Drosophila melanogaster: one gene and its partners. The protein of the gene in region 1 interacts with the protein of each later gene in a pairwise test. Each region holds a gene or a part of one and is shown in the gene's direction. Other genes may lie near its edges. The genes, in order: Nep3, Mpcp1, CG3500 and RNASEK.

Evidence for each region.
Region 2: the proteins of Nep3 (region 1) and Mpcp1 interact in a two-hybrid assay, tested with the Drosophila melanogaster proteins (one large-scale study listed by BioGRID).
Region 3: the proteins of Nep3 (region 1) and CG3500 interact in a two-hybrid assay, tested with the Drosophila melanogaster proteins (one large-scale study listed by BioGRID).
Region 4: the proteins of Nep3 (region 1) and RNASEK interact in a two-hybrid assay, tested with the Drosophila melanogaster proteins (one large-scale study listed by BioGRID).

The regions. Positions count from the first base shown.
Region 1 is NC_004354.4:19,958,558-19,965,452, forward strand, and holds the start of Nep3 (neprilysin 3), read left to right. Parts: upstream 1-2,739; 5' UTR 2,740-3,043; intron 3,044-3,131; exon of another isoform or gene 3,132-3,288; intron 3,289-4,618; exon of another isoform or gene 4,619-4,784; intron 4,785-5,397; coding exon 5,398-5,514; intron 5,515-6,224; coding exon 6,225-6,387; intron 6,388-6,448; coding exon 6,449-6,569; intron 6,570-6,639; coding exon 6,640-6,895. Other genes in the region: CG12655 (uncharacterized protein), read right to left, coding at 1-343, 744-810. UniProt on the Drosophila melanogaster protein: Metalloendoprotease which is required in the dorsal paired medial neurons for the proper formation of long-term (LTM) and middle-term memories (MTM).
Region 2 is NT_033778.4:20,277,330-20,283,721, reverse strand, and holds Mpcp1 (mitochondrial phosphate carrier protein 1), read left to right. Parts: upstream 1-2,594; 5' UTR 2,595-2,734; intron 2,735-2,784; exon of another isoform or gene 2,785-2,878; intron 2,879-3,112; exon of another isoform or gene 3,113-3,132; intron 3,133-3,276; 5' UTR 3,277-3,294; coding exon 3,295-3,487; intron 3,488-3,556; coding exon 3,557-4,321; intron 4,322-4,387; coding exon 4,388-4,554; 3' UTR 4,555-4,656; downstream 4,657-6,392. Other genes in the region: CG16868 (uncharacterized protein), read left to right, coding at 1-1,572; CG9143 (uncharacterized protein), read left to right, coding at 4,900-6,325, 6,384-6,392.
Region 3 is NT_033778.4:23,355,001-23,360,276, reverse strand, and holds CG3500 (uncharacterized protein), read left to right. Parts: upstream 1-2,711; 5' UTR 2,712-2,988; coding exon 2,989-3,058; intron 3,059-3,119; coding exon 3,120-3,421; intron 3,422-3,606; coding exon 3,607-3,831; 3' UTR 3,832-3,905; downstream 3,906-5,276. Other genes in the region: Mthfs (methenyltetrahydrofolate synthetase), read right to left, coding at 55-287, 352-607, 681-797; CG34423 (uncharacterized protein), read right to left, coding at 1,177-1,245, 1,306-1,444, 1,510-1,559; CG9875 (uncharacterized protein), read right to left, coding at 1,930-2,037, 2,099-2,384, 2,443-2,522; Rpi (Ribose-5-phosphate isomerase), read right to left, coding at 4,198-4,923.
Region 4 is NT_033778.4:4,184,985-4,190,388, reverse strand, and holds RNASEK (ribonuclease kappa), read left to right. Parts: upstream 1-2,261; 5' UTR 2,262-2,374; coding exon 2,375-2,443; intron 2,444-2,509; coding exon 2,510-2,629; intron 2,630-2,696; coding exon 2,697-2,795; 3' UTR 2,796-3,554; downstream 3,555-5,404.

The DNA.
Region 1 (6,895 bases):
GAGCTGCCGATGATTGCTCCGCCATTCTGGTAGCCATAGGTACCCGGGTAGTTGGGGTCCGGCCGTACGCCCATGTAGCCCGGCTGGCCGGGATGGCCCACCTGGTTGTTGTAGGAGAAGGGACGACCGTGCTCGTCCGTACCGCTCACGTAGTAGGCTCCATTGCCACCCGCTCCACCGTAGGTACCACGCGAATCGATGCCGGCGTATCCGTAGCTGAACTGCGGATCCTGGCCACTCAGACTTCCCGGCGGATGCATCCCGCCGGACTGGGCGCTCGAATAGACGCCAACGCCGGCCGCATTTCCATTGTTCCAGTGCACCGTTCCGGCCTGGGCATCCACTGGATTCAAATGAAATGTGCTTGAATTAGTAACGCATGTAAAAGGTAACTTTCCTTGACCACAATGTACCCGCCACTTCTCGTGGACCAAACATGCTACATGGTCGTTATCAAAATGAGACCTAATACTATTACACATTTTAAATCAAATAGTTTAAAAATTTTGCTTTCATATTTGGTTTCAAATAGAAGAGATCAATAATTTGCTGATAATATCGCAGTGCTTAATTCTCCATTAGAAGTTGAAATTGAATTTGTTTACTTGGCACCGTCGAAATGGTATCGTGTGTGCGAATGCGATGTGTTATTTTCCATGGAAAAGCCGCTGAGGTTTATACGTATGTTTATTTATCGTATTTTTTGTGCGATTTTTCATATGTTCTGTTAGCGTTTCACTCACCAGCACTAAAATGAACTAGTGCCAATCCGATAACAATGACGATCAGAATGCGATTGAAATTCGACATGTTTTCCGAATGCGCGTTTGACTTCAACTAAACCGCTTCCAAAGTGCCATTGACGGTTTTAAACTCGATTCCCAAGCTCGGCTCTCATGTTATGAGTAACAATAGCGATTTTCTGCTGCCCTGAGTCATATTATTTGGTGTTTATTTACTCAATTTGAATGGAGCTGTAGTTTCGGTGGGGTATGATCAAAATAGGCACTTTATTTAGCACTGAAATCGAAAATCGAAACAACAGATTAAACATCTTAAATCTTTTTGGGTAAAATATTACCACTAGGTATCATATAGTCGAATTGCACAAAAATTTTCTCTGTTACAAGTTTACAACCTGTATTTATCTCACTCTGTAATTAGATATGACTTGTGACTTGAGATTAACAAAATAGTTTCGGTTAGCTGCAGGTAATGGGTATCTTTTAGTCGACGCACTTTTCTCAATTAATTTGCGTCTGCTTTATTAAGGAATCCTCAAAATAAAATTTAGCTATACTAGTGGTATTAATTCTTCTTATTGTTCATATCCATTCATCGTTTATTTGTTCCACATGCAGATGAGATTATTTTCTTTTCGATCAAAGAACATAAAACCGCGGTCGTACTTTATTTTCCCAAACGAGAACACGCAACTTCAAGTGCTTTCATGTTCGAGTGTCGAGATGTTATTTTTTTTTTTTTTTTTGCTGTATAGAACACGATAATTGGTTGGGTCATTAATGATATGCACGACACGGGCCGGGGTCATTTTGGGTTAAGGTGTGCTCCCATGTTGGTTTGCCCCAGAAGTCGAGATACATACATACATACATATATGTACATAGATCTTCTGGCGAATGGGGAATGCCGAGTCACAGTGCTTTGATGATCGCCCGAATTGTATTCGAACCTTCGTTGATCTTTTATGACCAAGTATATTTTGCATACATATTTTTCTAAATATTAACATATGCATGTTGTATATGCATATAAATAAACAAATATATATATATATATATATATTTATATATGTGTGTATTGTTGTCCGTCCGTTTCGCACTTTTCAGGTGAGTGGCGTTCGGAGGCGGGCAAACAATGCAGGTACGTTGTGGCTACCGTTCGACGGAAAATACATACAAACATACATATACATATGTACATACATGTATGTAGAAAACGAAAAGCCTCACAATACAATTGGTGGGCATGTGCGAATTGTTTGCTTTCTCAGTTGTGACGTAAAGCAATTTAGGTCGGCCGATAGGGTTATGCTAATGGACTATTCAATACCTTATGCTTGTATTTTTACTGCTTTGCCGAAGATAGTGAAATTGAATAGTGACTTTGTCATTCGACTGACATGTTCATTGACGTTCATTATTCATAGCCATTGCTCGCACAGGATTCATTGTTTCTAGAAGCTGTATGCTGAATCTCAATCTTCTAGCTTTTATAGTACCTGAGATCTACGGATACGGACAGATACGGACAGACGGACATGGCTAGATCGACTTGGCTATTGATCTTGATCAAGAATATATATACTTTATATAGTTCGAAACGCTTCATTCTGCCTGTTACAATGCTTTTTTAACGAATCTAGTATAACCTTCTACTCTACGAGTAACTGGTATTCAAATTTAGCTGATTAATTGAGAATTACGAGAATCGTTAGCTTTGGATACTCGATTACGTGGGTTAAACCGATAGCTTGTTGAAGGGCACTGTGATTGTCTGGCAACTCGTTGCGCGAAGCGTTGCCACCGTTCAAACAGATCCTGCGCAGTGGACCACGTTCTCCGGCAATGGGTTCAACTCGCTCCCTCCTGCCACGCATTTCTCTCTCTGTTTGTGTGTGTTTTGCTCATCTAATACGTTTGTGTTATGGTTTTTCCATTTTCGAGGGAGTCCAACCACCCGACTCCCAGCGCCGAGTGAAATTTGGAGAGAAAAGGCTAGTTCGAGTGCGATTACCGCTGCTGCTGGTGCTGGAGCTGGCTGTCAGTGGCTCGAGTTGGCAGTGTTGGTGGATACCGTTGCCTTTTTGTGGCTCAGAGCGGTTTGTTTGACCGCGAGCGGAATGCAGATAAGCGCGTTTTAAATGAATCACTGAACGATCGAATGTTATACCCATCGAGGGTCGGCCAAACTTAATCGAAAGTGCACCAATAAACGGCAAAGGGTCGAGAAAAAGCGAGCGCAGGGAGCTGGAAAAGTTGCATTGCCTTCTTTCTAGCGCACAAAGAAAATGAGCGCAAAGGTAGGCCAAGAGCGCGCCTCTCTTTTGCTGAACGTGTGTGTGTGTGTGTGTGAGTGTGTCAGTGTGTGAGTGTGCTGTATGTGCAATCAGAAGTACCACCCCACCACACCACACCACTTCCAAACAGTCCGATTCAAAGTCATAATTTCATTTGCATTTGAATAAATGCATCCCAGGCACACCACCCTCTCACCACTCACACATCTAAGCTGCTCCGATTTTATGGTCCTTGGTATAGAGAAATTGTAAGGAAAGCTGCACAAATGAAGTAGCTACCATATGGTATACCAAATAGCCAGGATACTCGCAGCCAAATCGAGAAAGGAGGTGGCATAACGACAGATAATGACGAGTCGAGAGCACTCATTCTACCAGATTTCAACTCAGTGCAGCTCAAGTGAAATCCCATTGTGGTGGTGATTCGGTGAATCCCTGCAGTTATCATCTGTTGCCCTGCAAAAAAAATGGCATGAAGAGCCGTTTATGAACTCGGAGAATCCGAAGTAGCCATCATTGACTTTCACATGGGCTCCGTTCGGTTCATTAAAACTCCCTTGGATGGACGCTTTGGTAGAATAGTCGTAGTAAATGGTTGAGTGAAATATCCTTATTTCGAGCATAAGACTAAGGTATATAATAACTTAGTTAATCATTTTCAATGGGACCTAAAGTTGCATCATATTCAATCATGTTATGAACTTAATATATTTCCCATAAAAGTATTAAGACGTCAATTCCGTTGATTTGCCCATTAAGTCGAACCTTTCAATGGTTTTCTACCTCCTTGTTTTTCAATACATTAGCCGATTTGATTGGTGGCAAAAGGAGGGCTCGTTAGGCGTAACGCCATTTAATGCGTGTTTACATTCAACAGTCTGCTAAATGTCAGTTGGTGTGCAGCCTGTGTTTACATTGCGATGGAAAATCGTGGCGAGAAGCAGTCCAAACTGAGGGATACCTCTTGCTTAATGTGTTTTTAAATGTGGTTCTATGTGGCCCATCCATTTTCACGTGTATTATATACCTATTGTATACCTGCAATATCATATCGCCCCCATCCATCATATGTTATTTATATCGCTTGTTGTCCGACACCAGATTACGTTCGTAAATCTATATCGAAAGCTTAAAGATACCAATTTGTTGGCAAACAAGATCGAGTGCGAAATCATATCATATGGCGCCTTTCCGATCCCCGATCCCAAATCGACATTAGAATATTATTCGGCATACCGAAAATGGGTGGGTTGATATAGAAGATATATAGAAGTGCACATAAGCAAGGCCGAATCTTTTGGTGTATATTTGCATTGTGTTAATTGAATACATATGCCGCTCCTTTTCATTTTAATGCGCCCAGTATATCCATTTCGGCTACATCTTGGCACATATTGCCGCAGTAAACACGCACACAGCCGCCAGTCAATTAATTTGAGTACAATGCAAAACTATCCAATATAACGCGCCGTTGGCCCGTAGATGTTTTCTGCTTTCGGCGGGCATTGTTGAATTGGTTGGTCGCAGAACTCGGAACTCGCAGTCCCTGAGTTCCGAAGCTCTCCGGGCTCGACCGCCAGTGCCTTGCGAGCGGTCATGGGCTAAGCACAGATAGTATCGTTGCCGCGCTCTGTTTTCGTATAGCTCCTCCCGTCGAAGTTCCGAAAAATAAACACACTACCGCATACCGTGCTCTCCCCATACACAAAGATTAACCAAAATGTGGCTTTCCGACTGCCGTTCGGTATGTCCGTGCTTCAGCTCCTGTATCCCATTCACTTTTAGTTGGGCACCTTAGTTAGACATGGAATGCTGACAAGTGGTTGAGAATGGGTTTTGTTCATGTTCATGTTTCAGACTTCGCGATTTCTTTCGAATGGATATCTAGATAGCGAGTAAAAATAGTCCAAAGATTACGAGGAACTCTTAGTACAAAATTATACATATATTTCTCTTAAGTTGTTGTGCATTACCTTTTTCTATTTCTATATTTCCATATAGTTTGGGTAATTTGCAAATTGTTCCTATGATGAATGCACATTTTCTGAAAACCCAAGGCATATCGTAAACTTGGAATGCTCTGCTGACTGCTGAAGGGTTAACACTTTTGAGTACATAGAGCACCATATGAAAATGGGCAGCAGTGGGGGATGTGAGAGAAATGTAAAGCACAAGGCGTTGAGTGAGCGCTAAAGAACGCACGGTATCTATACAATCCGAGCGGAAAAGCTTCGGTCTACTTATCAGATGCCCTAGACCAAAACATGTGATAACAGATAGCAGCAACATATTTAGATTATTAGATACACGTTGGTAGGCAATTTGATGGGTTTGCAACAATTCGATTCTCATTCCAGATGACGCGCTACAAGCAGACCGAATTCACGGAGGACGACTCGAGTTCCATCGGCGGCATTCAATTGAACGAAGCGACCGGCCATACGGGCATGCAGATACGCTACCACACCGCCCGGGTATGTAAGAAACCTGTCGGGGTAACACCGTGCATCCGTGCAATGCAATTCAGTCGGATAGCCACTTAGTTGTCGTTGGGCTTCAGCTTTATCTTTGTGGCAATGACCCAGAAACGAGTGGCAAATGGGGCCAAAGTGAGCGCTTTTCTCATTTGCTCGAAGGTTGCCAGTTGACAGTGAAAAGTCTGCTCTTATGAGTGGGAGCGCGTTGGTGTGAGCTTTTCCCTCTGCGAACTGACATGAATACCCTATCTGGTGACAGGGTAACGATGGCTTTGAGAGGCGGTTCGTTGTTCAAATAAATTTAAACTTCATGTGATATTATTCCATAGATATACGAAAGCACTTGACCGTATACAACTGTATCAACAAAATGTCTAAAAGCAAGTTAAATTACTATAGAATTTAAACAGTGTGGTACAATATTTGTCTTTGGAGACTGCATTTCATGAGTCGTTGCGGCTTCTGAAAAGCCATTTATCTATATCTCAGCGATATATGGAAAAATTAGCAGGCAAGTGCCTTACGCTTACGAAATGTATCCCATGTAGATACCACCCCAATGTGTACAAGTTTGAACTCATTTGAACCGCCGTCGTCTTGTTTACAAAACACACAATTCGCTGGAAAAGATTTATGGGGCGAATCTTTTGTGCCGCCATGTGGAGGCCAGAATGATTGGTGGCTAATGCGGCGTTTTCATTTCACAGGCTACATGGAATTGGCGCTCGAGAAACAAGACGGAGAAATGGCTGCTCATCACGACTTTTGTGATGGCCATCACGATCTTTACGCTGCTCATCGTCCTTTTCACAGATGGAGGCAGCAGCGATGCGACCAAGCACGTCCTTCACGTCCAGCCGCACCAAAAAGGTATGGATTGGGTGAATGTAATCTAGGAATTTCCAAGGATACACAATCGTCTCCCTTTCAGATTGTCCTTCCGGCAATGAGCTTCCTTGCTTGAACAAGCACTGCATCTTCGCCTCGAGCGAGATCCTTAAATCGATCGATGTGACCGTGGATCCGTGCGATGACTTCTATGGATATTCCTGGTGCGTTAACTAAAAATTCAATTCAAATTGTTCAAGAGGAGTTCCAGTAACTATTTGCTTAAAATTGCAGCAATCAATGGATCAAGAACAACCCCATTCCCGAGGGGAAATCCACGTGGGGTACGTTCGGCAAGCTGGAGCAGATGAACCAGTTGATAATACGTAACGTACTGGAGAAGCCGGCAAAAAGCTTTAAGTCGGACGCGGAGCGGAAGGCTAAGGTTTACTATGAATCATGCCTGGATGCGGATGAGCACATGGAGAAGTTGGGGGCAAAGCCCATGAACGATCTACTGCTGCAGATCGGAGGATGGAACGTGACCAAG
Region 2 (6,392 bases), on another chromosome or scaffold:
GTGGTAGCCCTGGACGTTCCTTATGCCTTCTACTATCGCCTGATCCTGGAGGGCACACCGATCTGCCAGCTGCCGCATATAAAGTGTCTGCTGTTCGAGCACGAGGGATATTTGTTGGCTCACCCCAGCATGTTGCAGCCCGCCACACTCACGAAAAACCAGCGACGTCCACATGAGCACCTCACACACAAGGAATCGTATTTGGCCAACGATATGTTGAACCACGGCCAATTGGTACGAAAACTCGGCTGTGCCAGCTACCAAAACCGCACGTTGCAGCGTTACTACGCCTTCAACACATCTCTGTCCAGCATCCTGGGCAACGTAGTGCACGGCGAGCGAACCAAGTACGCGATTGCCCTGATCCGTGGTAGCAATCTATTCGCAGCCGTACTAAACTCCAGCTGCGATGGCGGCGCCTTTTGCCCGTGCAGCACAATCGACAGAGAGTGTCTCAACTGCAAGCGAATGGACCAAACAGACTGCGAGTGTCCTTGCGAGTGTCCAATGGTGGGAGACAGCAGCTCACCATCGTCCCTCATGTACTTTGCCAACTACACGCGACAATTTCCGTACTGTCCACCGCCAAGTGAACATTTCATTGCACTTCCACCGACCACACAGCTGCTGAGTACTCTGCCGAATTGTCCTGGTTCTGCTGGCATATGCGAAACGTATTCCACTCAAAGAGAATGCCTCGGAGTGATGGGCTGCGAATGGTGCCAGCTGGATGTGGACGGCAATAGTTTTTCGACCTCCTTCTGCTCGTCCCAGGCGAGCTGCTTCAACGGAGTACTTGCCTCGCTGACACCCTACGGTGAGCTGGACGAGATGGAACTGCTGGCCGCCCACAATCCGCAGAGAGAGCAGCACGCTTACTCTGCATTTGGTCCGCTAGGAGGAGCCATTGTGGTGCTTGTCATGGTGATTGGCTTTGCCATCTACTGCTACAGACACAATCTGGATGCGCAGACGCAGGAGCACTTCTATGTGGATTCGGTACAGGAAGAGAATTACGGCTTGCCGCTGTCCAGGTTCAACTTTGACGATTGCAAAGCGCATGACGAGCCGCCTCTTGGTGGCGGCTATGACCACGCATCTGCACAGCGGCAGCTGATGCACGCGGCGGATATTTCGCCCTACCACGTTTCCAGCGGCAGTAGCTATCGCCGGCCACCCAACGGTGAGTCGGATCATGGCTACAGCACAATGACGCCGCACGAGGACAGTTCCGATCAGCAGTGCTTCACGCTGGCGGAACCTTTGCTGCTGCACGACAAGCGGCACAGCAAGTCGGACACCATGTCCATATCCACATCCATATCGAGTCCCACGAATCGACAGCAGTCCTCCTCGCAGCCAAACACGCATCCCTACTTGAGCAATCAGCCGACCTCAAAGACGGAACGCTACAAGCAGGTGCAGGCCACGCCCTCGCCATGTCGCGGAACGCCAGCAGGTGGTAGTGTCTACGGGCAGACGACGTTGCCCCTCGAGGGGGATAAGACCCGGCCACACTATATCCTGGCACCAGTGACGGTGCACCGGCACATGGAAACTGCCGAATCGTAGTCCACAATAGCGTTGTTAAGTTTTAGAGCGTAAGATGTCCGCTTGTTTGCCAATTTAGTTATGTAAGTTTCCAAAATGGGCAGTTCAACTGCCGACAGTCCAGAATGCTGGGCCCGCATTCCAAACCCGCAATGTGTTTTGTGAGCTCGCGGTGGCCTCCATTGTTGGCCCATCTGTATCTATTAGAGCCTCCGTGGACGAGACGAACACCAACTATTAAGTGATGACATTGTTTCTGCCATTTTTGATCGATGTATTGTATTTGTATTGTATTGTATTTTACTGTAATTTATTGCAAAAAGTATTACTATATTATGTGCAGCTATATACTTCCGATATTTTTAGCATTTATTTGATAAGCACCAACAACAGAAATGTACTTACTTGTCTGATTGTAAGATACCATGTCGTATATCGTTTTTTGTAATAGCCCCTAAGACTACAGAGTTACTAACTACTGATTTTAGTAATACACATCTATAATAGCATTGTACGTTTCAAATAAAATGTTTAAATTTTGCAAAAAAAACCCACAAGATCTTAACCTTGATCCAGAGCGATCGGATGAATCGATTGGGCTGCCAATTGCTCGTCCTCCGATCAGCTGGTCGTACGTTAATGAAATTATTTTTACACCTATACATTTTATAAGCAAACCAGACGCTGCTCAATGGGCTCTTTTTTTGCTGTGGTGGCCAAGAATTGCCAATTTATAAATAACAATCTCTATTCGGGGGTTGTCAGGTGGCTTTTAGAGCAAAATTAGCTATGGATCTTTGGTGTAAGTTTTTACCCGATACCCAACCATTTCATAACCGTCATTAACCGATGTCATAAGGCTGAGATAGCCAACATATTCAATATCTTCAAAAAGAAAGTGTCTTTATACTGATTAGCTGTGCATTTGCTGTGTAAGTTCTTACCCGATACGCAACCGTTTCGAAACCGTTATCAACCGGTTGGCTTTGCACTCGGCTGGCAACCCTGAACCGAAGCTGCTAGCTCTCACTATACCATTGCAGCCACTGCATTTGGTTTTCTGGTCTGGCGCACGACGAACGTTGCTTTGGGTCCCCACATTTCAGCCCAACAACGACTCTATACTTCAACTATATCTAATCCCTATCTGCACTTCACCTCCTTCGATACCCCGCACTTTGAAGTGAGTGTTTAAGTTTGCTCGGTGTTTTGAAAACCGTTCTGTTTTCGAACATTTTCGAAATATACGCAAAGTGATACAATACGTACTCTGGGGAGAACATTACGCAATGCATAAAAAGTGTTTGGCGAATGAGAAAAAACAATAGTTATGTAAAAAATAATGCAAGTATACATTCTCAATTTCAATATAACTTGATAAAAAAAAGAAAGTTTATAAAAAAAGTTTTTTGATGAAGTGATTTCGGATTGAATATATTATTGCCAATGCTTATCATTTACTATTGCTAATTAATTTTTAAATTATAATGATACTAGAAAAACAGTTTTTAAATAATTGTATAATCTTTCAGGATTAAAGAACATAACTTCTATGTGCTCAAACGTTTTTGACAAAAGAAAGTACGAAATATTAATTTATAGATGTAAAAACAATTAAAATAGATTAAATGTATTTAGTGTAGGCGGTACCACTTGCAATTTAGTTTGTTACATCATGACCTTAACCTTAAACCCATTCGAAACCCTTGATCTCTGTTTTCAAAGGCACTTCTCTAAGGCATCATGTTTAAGTCCCTGTTCGATGCCGCGCAGAACTCAACGTTCAAGTCGCCATTCACTAGCGTCAACTGCCAGTCAGCCACGCCCACTTCCGCCCCCACATCCACCGCGGTGGTGACCCCCACCCTCAAGGATGTTGCTCCACGCCAGCTGACTCGAAACCACAACATCGCTGCCGCTGCCGTTGCCGAGGGTGGTAAGTGGGACAAGTCCTCCTGGAATCACCAATGAGTTGGATATATAAGTATTGTTAATACCTCTGCAGACTCCTGCGAATTCGGCTCGAACCACTACTTCCTGCTGTGCGGCCTGGGCGGCATCATCTCGTGCGGCTCCACACACACCATGGTGGTGCCCCTGGATTTGGTCAAGTGCCGCCTGCAGGTGGACCCGGCCAAGTACAAGAGCGTGTTCACCGGCTTCCGCATCAGCTTGGCTGAGGAGGGCGTCCGCGGATTGGCCAAGGGATGGGCACCCACCTTCATCGGCTACTCGATGCAGGGTCTGTGCAAGTTCGGCCTGTACGAGGTCTTCAAGAAGGTGTACGGCGATGCTATCGGCGAGGAGAACGCATTCCTCTACAGAACCGGACTCTATTTGGCTGCATCGGCATCCGCTGAGTTCTTCGCCGATATCGCCCTGGCGCCCATGGAGGCGGCCAAGGTCAAGATCCAGACCACGCCCGGATTCGCCAAGACATTGCGCGAGGCTCTGCCCAAGATGACCGCCCAGGAGGGCGTGACCGCCTTCTACAAGGGCCTGGTGCCATTGTGGATGCGCCAGATCCCATACACCATGATGAAGTTCGCCTGCTTCGAGCGGACGCTGGAGCTGCTGTACAAGTATGTGGTGCCCAAGCCACGTGCCGATTGCACCAAGGGTGAGCAGTTGGTGGTGACCTTCGCCGCCGGTTACATTGCCGGCGTGTTCTGCGCCATCGTCTCGCATCCGGCGGACACAGTGGTGTCCAAGCTGAACCAGGCCAAGGGTGCCTCCGCCCTGGACGTGGCCAAGCAGCTGGGTTGGTCTGGTAAGTGCTGACATTTGATGGGATTTCCTGTTCCTCATCTAAAACATTCGCTTTTTTCCAATTCAGGATTGTGGGGCGGTTTGGTGCCCAGGATCGTGATGATCGGCACATTGACCGCCGCCCAGTGGTTCATCTACGATGCCGTCAAGGTGTTCCTGCGCATGCCACGCCCACCACCACCAGAAATGCCCGAGTCCCTGAAGAAGAAGCTGGGCGTGACTGGCGAGCAGTAAACCAAATATAAGCTAACTGTTTTTAAATTTAGAGCGAGCAGAATGTTAATCGAATTAAACTTGATTTGTATAGATAAACCACACAGTAAATAAAAACCACACAAAAATTAAACGCTCTTTGTATCAAGGGGTAAAAGAAAATTTCAATTTAAAATAACCGCCAAGCTCGAGTGCACACCTCCATATTTTCCAACACTAATTTAGCACTTTTAGTTCAATACCGAACAGCTGAGCTTAACAGCCCCGTCCAATGTCAACAAACAGAGGGAAGAAGAAGCAGCATTCAACACGCGGTTTTTTGAACTGCATTTTTATTTCACTTTTATTAAGTTAAAATAGATAATTATGGTTCAGAATAAACAGAAAACAGCGAAGCCACCAAAGCTGCTAAAAGGCGCAGCCAAGGAGCCTGCACTTTCGAAGGCGGAAAACTGGCAGAAGGTTAAAATCAAGGGCCACGTGATATCCGACGATGGTGGCGGCTTCGAGGGATTAATTGGCCTGGAGGTCCTCAAGGACTACGATGCATCGCTGGTGAAGTCCTCGCAGAAGAGGACCACATCCCGGAATCCAGACAGAGAGCGCAAGCTGAAGAAGAAAAAGAGGAAGGTATCGAAGGGCGACGAGGAGGAATCCAGCGAGAGTTCCAGCGAATCCGAAAGCGAGGATGAAGTGGCGGTCGCTGCTAGGACCAGTAAAAAAGCCCGCCTGGCCGAGCGTCATGCGCAAAAAATGCAGAAACTGCGCGAGAAGCGTGAAAAGCGAAAGGAGCTGCGGAAACAGAAGAAATCGAAGGGCAAGGAAAACGACAACAGTGAGGAGTCCAGTGATGAGCACGCGGCAGATCGTTTCGCATTGCTCAGGCCACCACCATCGGACGATGAAGAAGAAGTGGTCAAGGCGGAAGATTCGGCAGACCAACAGGAGTCGACCGACGAAGAAGCACCCGAATTAGTGCCCATCTCCACAGGCGAAGCCGAAGATATGTCCGCCTGGAACGGCCTGGGTGTTCCCGCTTCCATTTTGCGTGCCCTCGGCGAGCAAGGCTTCAAGACGCCCACACAAATCCAGGCACTGACGCTGCCGGCTGCAATCCACGGCAAAAAGGACATCCTTGGAGCAGCCGAAACGGGCAGCGGAAAAACCCTGGCCTTTGGCATACCCATGCTCGCCGGAATCATGGAGCTGAAGCAAAGGAATATTCGCTCTGGCATACGCAAGGCGCCCAAGGTGAAGGGACAGCAGCCGGAGCCAGCGGCAGATGAGCACGAGCTGACGCCCCCGCCGGAGGAGCTGGATCATGTTTCCGGTGCCAGTGATGAGGAGAGCGATGCGGAGGAGCAGGCCCAGCGTGTACAGACTCCTCTGTACGGTCTGGTTCTCACACCCACCAGGGAGTTGGCCGTGCAGGTCAAGAATCACCTGGTGGCTGCTGCAAAGTATACAGGCATTCGAGTGGCAGCCATCTTCGGAGGTCTAGCTGTTGCGAAACAGGAACGAGTACTTCGCCAGTGCCCGGACATCGTGGTGGCCACACCTGGTCGCCTCTGGGAACTTTACGCCCAGGGCAATCGACATTTGGGCAAGATCGAGGATGTCAGTTTCCTGGTCATCGACGAAACGGATCGCATGGTGGAGAAGGGACACTTCGAAGAGCTGCGCAGTCTACTCAAGGTTCTCAATTCGGACGAGCAGAAGAAGCATCAGCGCCAAAATTTTGTTTACTCGGCCACTCTGACGTTGGTCCACGATCTTCCCGATCACATGCAGAGTAAGTTACTCGGATCTTTTGAGATTCCATTAAGTAACCAAAACTCTTTCACTTTCAGAGCGAAATG
Region 3 (5,276 bases), on another chromosome or scaffold:
GTGTTGCTTTCGTATTAGTTCGCTTTACTTCCCACTTTGTATGTAAGCCAAAAGTTAGTTTTCCGTAATTACACTGTGCAAACGGACGTCGTGCGACTCCATGGGCAACTCCTCGTTGCTGACTATCTGCTCGTTGAGCGACAGTGCCATCAGCGAGATCTTCTTGTGCGGATACTTCTCCGCGTGCTGCTTGAGGAACTTGTCGTAGTAGCCCATGCCATGGCCCATCCGAGCTCCGCAGCGGGTGAAGGCCACACCGGGCACAATGAAGAGATCGATGCCGTGCCCTGTGGTGATCGAGTGTGTGTGTGTGGGTTTAGAAGGAGCTCTGATGTATGCCTAGCCACTCACCGTTGGTCATGGCATCCTCGCGTGCCTCCTTGAAGTCCGGCTGCTTTATGTTCCACTTGGTCAGAGGCAGGCTCTCGTACTCCTCCATGCCGCGCAGCCGCACCATCTTCATCCTGCTGCCCTCGTAGGTGGGCACAAAGACCATCTTCTCCAGGCGGAACATCTCCGACAGCAGCGCCGTGGTGTCCAGCTCCGAGGCTGTGCTCAGGTAAATGCTCACCCGCTGCGCCTGCCGGAAGATCTCGCTTTGCAGCACCTGTGCGATCGAGCCGATTAGGGGGATTGGGAATTAACTTGATAACCTTGGGGCCCAGCCAAACCAATGTTACCTTAGCCGTGACGGCCTGCGACTGCCGGGCGATGGCCTCCGCGTCGATGCCCTTCAGTGCATCCTTCATGCGCTTTCGCAGCGCCACCTTCAGGGTGTTCTGGATCGTGGCCGCCATTCCTGCCGCTGGATCATCTACTGCACACTCGAGCGAACCGGTGCGAACTGTTTCCATCTGCCTGCGCGGTCCATGCGTCTTTAGGTCGCCACTCCGCCGCCCGTTATCAGCTGCGCTTACACTGACGCTTATCTGTCGGCTGTTCCGCTTTGCAGCGCTGTTCGTAAACAAATGGAAGTGGAGCGGTCTGGGGAAAGTTTAGGCTTGCAGTTTGGGTGAGCCGCGGGGCGATCAGCTGATCAGGGATGGGAGTTATCCAATACACAACCAGTTGTAAATTAAACAAAATATATTTGGAGTACCATTCCCATTAAATACAATTCAGACAATCCAGCCTAACCATAGTTAAGCTAGTGGAGTTCAAAGCTCCTGGTTGGGCTCACTTCTTGGGAGCCTCTGGTGCCTTAGGCTCCGTCTTGGTCTTCAGGTTCTTCAGTTGCTCCTTTTGCTGCAGGGAAACATGGAATCTTTACCTCGTGTACAGTCTGGTGTAGTAGAAAGAGCTCACCTGCTTGTAGAAGAACTCCTCCTCGCGAGCAGCCTCCATTTTGCCAAATGAACCGCCCGCCTCCCGGATGGATCCGCCGCCGCCGCCGCCGTTGCCGGCTCCACTGCCCAGTTCTCCGATCTGCGACATCTTCAAGTGCCTGCAAAGCGATTCGAAAACGGTTCTAGAATCTTACGCAACTGCTCTCCAAATCGCGAAACCTACTGAATCTGCTTGGGATACCAGCGCTGACTGAATCGTCGCAGTGTAAACATGTTTGCCTCTATCGGTTTATCGGTTTATATAGTATAGTTAAGCTATATATAAGGGATGAGTAGCCGCTGAAATTTCGATTTCGACGACTTGCGAAAACAAACTGGTGAACATTGGACAATAGCGCTGCTAAAAATACTGAGTGGGCACGGAAATAGAAACACATTCACTAAATAGGGGCTAAAGAACTTTAGTTTTAATCAACTGGGATGACCCAATGGATTTTTAATTACTTCCTTAATTCCATAAAAACTTTCTACAAAGATTGCAACTAACAATTTTATTGAGCCGTGTCATGTGGATAAGTTGGGTGATTATGATGATGATGCGCCTGAAGAAATCGGTGTATGGCATTTAAACATAAACAACTAACTATTTGGTGTTCTGGGGATCTGATTCGAGTTCCAGTTCTGTGGCAGTATGGCGAGATTTGAGCTCTTCTTGGGCACGATCGTGCAATAATTTGATGTCGTCTGCAGTCTGAAAGCAAAGATATTGCAATGGAAATTAGAAGAAAAATGAGCTGGAGACTTATAGCAACCTTGTTCAGGAAAAAGGCCTCCTCGAGTACGTTCTTGTGCTTGTTCATGGAAGAGGTGCTGCCCAGCGAGGCGTGGTCCAGAGTCTTCTGGAACTCGTCCCAGTTGGGCAGGTAGTCGCCGGGCTCCTTCTTGTCCCGCATCTTGCCCACGAGGGTTTGGGTCAACGAAATGAAGTACTCCTCCTCCTTGAGACCGCCCTGCAGCTTGCCAAGTCCGCCGCCCCAAAGGAAAACACCCGGGGGCTTCTTCTCCTCGGAGTAGAGCTTCCTGGGCGCCAGGCCGAGTCTTCAGGGATTTCGGATGGGGTGTTTAAGGGAAGGAGTTATGTGCAAGCGCTACTCACTTTGGATTGAGACCCATGCTCAGTCTACGCTGCACTATTCCTGCACAAAACATCCTTGCACGTGCGAGTATGGAACACATACGAAAAGTTACGGATTTTTCGAAAAGGCTGGACAATTTGCAGGATATCAAAAGCAGAATCTAGACTGTTTGCTTCAGATGAAATTTGAAACGGTTGCTTTCTAAGATATTCGGTTTTGATATCCGACATTTTATAAAGAATTGAACTCGTTTTACTTATGAATGTATTTTTACTTCATTTGCAGATATTTTTAAGTCATGGTCCATGGATGCTGCTGCTCACATTAGTTAGTTTGCATATGGATTTCAATCCTAAATTCCTCATGTTTCCCACAAAAAATATTTGAAAAAGCGTTGGAACGAGAATATCTGGCAGCTCTGCGCATTAGTGTGCCCGTTTCTATACAAGCTGATTAAATGTTTGGTATTTCGAGCCACACACCACACGCCACTCTAATCGGATTGTTTTGTTTTGTCGGCCGATTTGAGCCGTATATATCCTTCGATTCCGCCTGAAGTACGCAAGATGGCCGTCCTGTACCTGCTGGGATGGGTTTCGCTGGCCATACAGATCGTGTTCCTCACCCTGTCGATTGGTGAGCTGTCGCCGTGCAGCCGCACTTGTCCAATTGCAACGTCTGCAATTTGTATTTCCAGTGGCTGGTCTCTATTATCTGGCGGAGCTGGCCGAGGAGTACACGACGGCGGCTAGGAAGTGCATCCTATTTCTGATCAGCTTCACGATCTTCGTCTACATCCTGCTGCTGCTGTTCGAGGACCTGCCGTGGAGCCTTATCATCTGCGGACTGGTGGCGCAGGGCTTCCACCTGGGCATCATGAGTGGATTCCCCTTCGTGCGCCTGCTCTCGCTGCCGCTGCTGGGCTCCCTGGCCATGCTGGTGGTCAATCACTTCCTGGCCTTCCAGCATTTCGTCACTGTCTATGTGCCTTTCACGCAGGTGAGCATATGTATTGCATAAATCATTAGTCATGGAAAGCGCATTCGCTACGTACAAACGTATGTACGTTTTTATACAGCCATTATATGCAATATGCATTGCATTGTGTATCCACATCATCAGTTTGTTTACATACAACTTGAATTAGGCCGCAGCAAACGCCTAAAGGAAATTTACACTTTCAGGTGCTGGCTTACTTTACCATCTGCATGTGGATCGTGCCCTTCGCCCTGTTCGTCTCGCTGAGTGCGAATGACAGTGTCCTGCCCACCACCGTCAGCGACCAGAGCCGGCGCAGTCCGGACGTGGTCAGCAACTACTTCTCGCGTAACAAGAAGCAGGGCCTGCTGTCGCTGTTCCAGTATCTGAAAGAGGCCCTGCTCCCTGGGCGGACCAAGAAGGCCTTCTAGATCTAGCTTGTTTAATGTTTATTTATTTTTGTAGCCGCAATCGAGACAAAAGTATACAAAGCGCATGTGAACTGACATTCGACATCCACTTTATTGTAGTGGAACTGTAACCAATTGAGATTTAGTGGGTCTGATTTCAGTGTAATGGATACCCTTTTGTGGTGATTTGGACGTATTTCGATGTTATACTTGAATGAAGAAGCTGAATAAGATTCGTTTGCTGAAACTTTCAAGTTAGGACACATCGTTTTCTCGGCTAAGAACTCAATATGTATTTAAATCCATTACAAATGGCAAACCTAAAATTTAAGGAACAACTTGGTGAAACATAAATGCAAAAAGCGCTCCCCCAACTCCGCCCAAGAACTACTTGTTCTGGACCTTGACCGAGCCATTGGCCATGCCGTAGTAGCATTTGTGGGCCATGTTCACGAACAGGCCCGTCTCCAGGACGCCCGGGATGAGGGTGATGGCGCGGTTGACCTCGTCCCAGTCGTACTCCCTGTTGGCGATGAACTTCCAGTCCAGGAGGAAGTTGCCATTGTCCGTGACAATGGGTCCCGCCTTCACCTTGGCCATACGCAACGAGGCCTCGCCGCCGAAAAGCGCCTCGATGTGCAGCTTGATGGGCACGTACGCCATGGGCGCCACCTCGATGGGCACGCCGCGGCACCACTGCTCGCCCAGGCGGATGGAGTTCTTTGTGTAGTCGGCCACCACGATGAAGTGCTTGGCGCAGGAGGCCACCACCTTCTCCTGCAGCAAGCAGCCGCCGCCGCCCTTGATCAGCACCATATGGCGATCGACCTCGTCGGCCCCGTCGATGGCCACGTCTATGTTGGGATTCCTGTCCAGATCGCCCAGGTTAAGGTTGTAGTCGAGTATCAGATGGCGCGCCTGGTAGGACGAGGGCACGCAGATGAGGTCCGTCAGCTCGCCCTCCTTCCACACGCGCTCCGCGATCCGCTGCACGGCGTACACCACCGTCGATCCGCTGCCAATCCCCAGAATCTTCGTATCCTCAGTCACCCACTGGTCCACCGCCGTGCGGGCCGCCGTCTTCTTGGCCGCGTCCAGCGCAATGTCATCCATCATGCGTATCTGGGTGTGGAGTGTTGCCGCTGCGCCGCTCAAAAGATCTTCGCCGAGTTGCTGGGTGAAGGTGAACCGTGCTCTTTGGACGCCTCGTCGCAAAAACCCAGATAACATGTGGTTAACAGGCTTGCTTTCAATCGCAACTTCAATGTCACAGAGATCAAGCCGCCGGTGCGGGATTTTTGGTGAAGCGCTAGGGATTTTTCGCTGTTGCGCCGGCCGGGCTAACAGAGCTGTTAGTTGCGCGCCAACTGTTAGCTGTTAAAATTATTCTGTTTACGTTATCTAAACTCAAGCACATATGGTTTCTAGATCGAAATCCACACTGGAAATAAAAGGGATTTTATTTT
Region 4 (5,404 bases), on another chromosome or scaffold:
CTAATGTAAAGTCATTTTTGAAATTTATTTTGTGATGTACATAGATTTCGCTATTTCTAATCTATTTTCAAATAATAATAACGTTAAGGCAATGCAAACAAGAATTTTTCGCATGGTGCCAATTGATCAAAAATAATACAGACTTAAGACTTTGCTTAGACTTAGACTTTGCATTGCCTTAAAAGTCTAAGAACTTCTAAGGAGAAGGGCATATTTTGTCAAATTTACAATGCATGTTGTCTGCTATCACTGTATGCGTAGAAAAGAGCTTTTCGCTGTAGCGCTCTCCGCTCTCTCGATCTTGAACAAAAATTCGGGAGAGCCTGGAGCCACCTCTAGAGCCACGCCGAAAAAATCGTGTGCCAAAAAGTCGTTATGGCGGTACGCATCTTGTTATTCTAGAGTCTTTGATAAAACCCTATCAAAAAATAAGACAAGACGAAATTGTAGGTTGTCAATATTTTTGGAAAAACCAAATCAGACGCATGTGAACTCGTTTATCGCGCGAGGCGAGTTGCATCTCAATTGCGCTGAAGAATACATGTTTTTAACTGGTGTCGGTTGATGGATAGACTGGAAGTATGAAATCGATCTTTCGGATAAAGGCACTGAGTTCTGGGGTATTACCACTGAATGTGGGTATTTGCCTAATTTGGCTTAAGGCTTGATTCAGATGGGATTCCGATAACAGTTTGACTTGCTCGGTTGCCATGGCTGATGATTTTATTTTTATTTTTGTTTTTACACTTTTATTGACCGTATGCAGTAGGTTTGACTATTGCGTGTCAACCACCGATTATAAGTAGTTCTTTTGCGGATAAAAGAGTTAATTGTATTACGATTTTATGTTCACTTTAGCGCCGATTCGCGTGGTTCAATCTTAAGCAGGGTTATGGCGATTGATAACGTACTCAGAACTGAACTAACGTATTGGGGCATGTTTGGGTTTATGTAGGCAGATTGGGATAGCTTAAGAGCGAAGCTTAAGAGAACAACGTTATCAACGTCTATTCTCCTGTTAAGAGAGGAGCTTCCGAAAAATAGGATTAATTGGAGAATCCTGAGACGATTGTGTGGGCGGAAGTTTTTGTTATTTCAGTTGGTTCACCAAGTGATCGGATATTTAGGGGACGTGGACGTTGGCTCGACGCAGAGTCTAGACTTTGGAATTCGGACTTTTGCACTTTGCTGTGAGTAATTGACAGCTAAGCTTAATCGAAGGGCTCTCGATCTTTAATTACATTTCGTACTTACACATTGATGTGTGTGTGTAATTGTTTACGATAGTGTGTGTGGTTGGGGAGTTGTGGGTATAGAATGGATATGTTAATATATATATATGATATAATATAATATATATATGTCGGTGAAGCCGAGCGTCCAATTAATTAGCACAGCAAGTCGCCTGCGTGTTGTCTCTTTGGCAGTTCTCACCAGACTTATTTACTCAAGCGTCGCCTTCTCGATGCTATTCTTCTATTTCTCATCTTCAAAATTCTTTTTTTGTTTTATCCTTACTTCGTTTCCACAAAACTCTACCACAACAACAACAGGCGCCATGCTAATTTGAATACACACACAAATGATGCCCACTCAATAACGGAACTCATTCCGTGAATTTTATTACTCGCTGCTCATCCTTAACATACGGATCAATAAACAAATGTCGGTTACATTCAAATAATAATTCAAATAATATGTTAGATCTACTCAATCTCCGACATATATATTAAAATATTAATAATTATAATAATAAAATTAATAATATTAAAATTATTATTATTATATATATATATATGTATATATATATTTATTTATTATACTTATTGTATTGTATTGTATATATATATATATATATATAATATATATATTATAATATATTATATATATATTGTTATATAAATTAACAGGCAACGATTTTGTGTATTGCGATTTATTATGCGACTATGCGCGTTCTGATGAGTTTTAAAACTAAAGACAGAAAACTTAAGCTTAATATGAAGTAGCCCGTTTTCTGAAGCAGCGCTCACGGCAGAATGCTGACATCGCGCTTCACACGCTCCGGGCAGTAGAATGTTGACCATTGCGCTTCACACGCTCCGGGCAGTGACTAAAATTACTAAAACGGCCCTTGTTCCTTTTCCACCGCTCCTAAATCGTCACTAGCTCACCGACGCTAGTTTGACGAGCTTATGTTTTTTATCGCTTACATTTGCATCAGTTTTTTAATTTTATTTGTGCACAGCCACACCAAAAGTTTGGTCACATGATATGTTCACCTGACAAAATCACAGTTTTCATTGAGGAATTGTGACGAATTGTGTTTGCTGAAACTTTTTATTCTCTTAAAAGTGTTTAACAAAAATTTAAGAAAATGAAAATCTGTGGCCCGAAACTATCACTTTGTGGTCTTATTATCTCTGTTTGGGGTATTGTCCAATTGGTGAGTACTGAGAATCTAATTTCGTCAAAGTTTCAAAAAGTAACCACTTACATATTTATGTTAAAGGTTTTAATGGGTCTATTCTTCTACATAAATAGTGTAGCCCTCATTGAGGACTTACCTCTTGAGGAGGAATACCATTCGTTGGAAGATTTTTATGCAGCTGCAAATAGAGCATACAATCAGGTATGTTCTCTTTTTACAACAACCATATGTACACATACGTCTGCTAATGCAAGGTAAATTTTTTCAGAATGCCTACAACTGCTGGATTGCCGCATGTATATATGTTTTGACTTTGTTGCTCTCCGCCCAGCAATTTTACATGAATAGCAGAGTAACTGCCAACTAATATTTCAGATGTAGTTTCCCAACTACTTAAAACTAGTATTGAAATTTTCCCTTCGATATATTTGTTAGAGGTGTTTTCCTTTTAATAAAGTTAAAGTTCAATTTAAATGTTACAACATGCTTATTGTATTAAGGGGCGGAGTGAGGAGTTTGTGTTTTTTAAACCCCAAAGAAGACTATTCACTTCATTTTTTATGTTTCATGTGTTCAGTGCGCCATTCACTTCTTATTTCTGTTATATATTTAAATTTTGAGAATTAATATATTTGATTACTATAGTAGCGATAAATCCAAACTCCGGAATTTCCTTCAGAGTCATGAAAGCACTTTTTTTTATTAAAGAGGTCAATCTGAACAAATTGTTGAAATGATATTTTATTTCTCCACGGGAATTTTACCTACGGAAGACCTAAAAAAAGGTATTTTAAATGTTTATTACGGTTATTACTGATATTGTGTGGAACGGTTTGGCGAGACATGAATTATTCGTACTGTTTTTAATTTTGTTGATAGCTATTATTAAATTACCCAACTTACAAATATTTTATTTATAAATTAATTAAAGTAGTTAGTAAGGTCATTACTGTCTTGATTTCCTATATCAAGCTGGTAATTAATTATGTTACGTTACGTCGTTCTGTAACATGTACATATGAACACGAGATTATCTTGTGCGCTGTGTTGCTGTATCCACATACACTAGTCGGTAAGCATTTTGACAAAATAAACTCCAAACCTTTTTTCAGTGAAACTTTTAAATGGTTTAATATGATAGTAATGTCTATTTTTTGTGTGTAAGTAAGTCGAACCTTTACTAAATCCTCCATATTGTAAAGGATCATCTCTTTAAAAAGAGAAGTGATTTCAGAAATCGCCTTCTAACGAGTTTTGTGTCACGGAACAGTTATTTTCCGTTTTAAAAGAGACCAGATTTCTTAATTATATTTAAATCTGGACTTTGAGGTGCACAATTCAAGAGAGTGACGCCAACAGCCTTTAGAAACTTGGCTATCATTCGGGCTTTGTGGCACGGAGCATAATCTTTCTGCAGGATAAATGATCCTCGATCAGCCTATTTCCAGAAGGAAACGCATTTTCGTTTAGGGTCGTCAAACATTGCCTTTGGTTCATCGAGCCGGAGACAGGGACCAAGTCACCGAACCGAAGACACTAGAGTAACAGATGCGTAGTGCCATACTCTCAAATTTTTGTTCGAGAGCGAGAGAGCGGAGAGCGCTACAGCGAACAGCTCTTTTCGACGCCTGCAGTGATAGCAGACAACTGTATGTGTGCACACGTATGCTCATGCATTGTAAATTTGACAAAATATGCCCTTCACCTTAAAAGTTCTTAGACTTTAAATCTATATTATTTTTGATAAATAGGCACCATGTGAAAAATTATTGTTTTGCATTGCCTTAACGTTACTATTATTTAATAAAGCTTAGAAATAGAAATAGCCGAATCATAATATCACAAAATAAATTTCAAAAATGACTATATTAAAATAATTGTCATTAGAGTATTCAGCTCGCGACGTTGTGTCCGCACTTCGTGCCTCAAGATTTTTCAAGACTTTTGTAATAAACAGTTTTTTAAGCAGTATTTTCTACAACGTATTATTTGTAGACAATTTTTTTTCAATGTAATGACTTTTTTTGGAAAATTTTTGTTTTATAATTACAATTATAACAATTTCCAAAATGTGTTGCAATAGTAAAGTACGGAAATATAAGCGCAAATAGTAATTGGTAAGTAGTGGAAAATAAACGCGAAGTTCATGTAAATATAGGACCCATTACAATTGTAGTGGCCTCCCCGTGGTGTTCCCTGGGCACCGATTATTACATATGTATGTCCTCACGCCCTGTGCCATTAAACGTCGTCAAACTGGGCGGCCACTACTTTTGGGAAGCCTGGCGGTCAGATTCCACTGCGTTTCAACGGCTGGGGTTTTGGAAAATTTTTTTTTAAATTCCCTCATAAAGACTTTGTCGTCAGTGAATGTTGTTAAGGCCGTTAAAACCTTTTAAGTTTTTTTAAATCATTATGTTTTTATACTTTTTAAATTGATAATACACAGTTTGACGCGGCAATTTAAACTGCTTCGCAAAGTTTTTTACTTTAATTCCAACGTTAAACTGTGCTTCCATTGATGATCTACAACAATAAACGAACTTAACTGGGCCTTTTCACCCATGGCCATCAATCAATAAATTTTTTTTATTTTTTCTTTTTGTATAACGTTTAACATCATAAAAAGTACAATTTAAACAATTTTTGATTTACAAGTGCTTCAAAAAAGGATACAATTTACTAAATAAGCTTGTCACAATACTTGTGCCAAACAAAAATTGATTGTCTGCGTGCAATCTTGTAAGAGAATGTAATGGGTAATCTGTACAAAAATTGGCAGTCATTATTTGCATTTCTCTTCGTTTTCGCGCTGTTTTTAACGGTATCAAGCGAAAGAGAGATTCAAAAAACAATATTGTTAAAATACGCAAGACGGTGCGATTCATCTTTAAATAATTGGCGCTCAACTAGTGGTGAAAACCACCACCCACCATCACTATCACCAACAACCTACAGCAACGAACACCAACACAC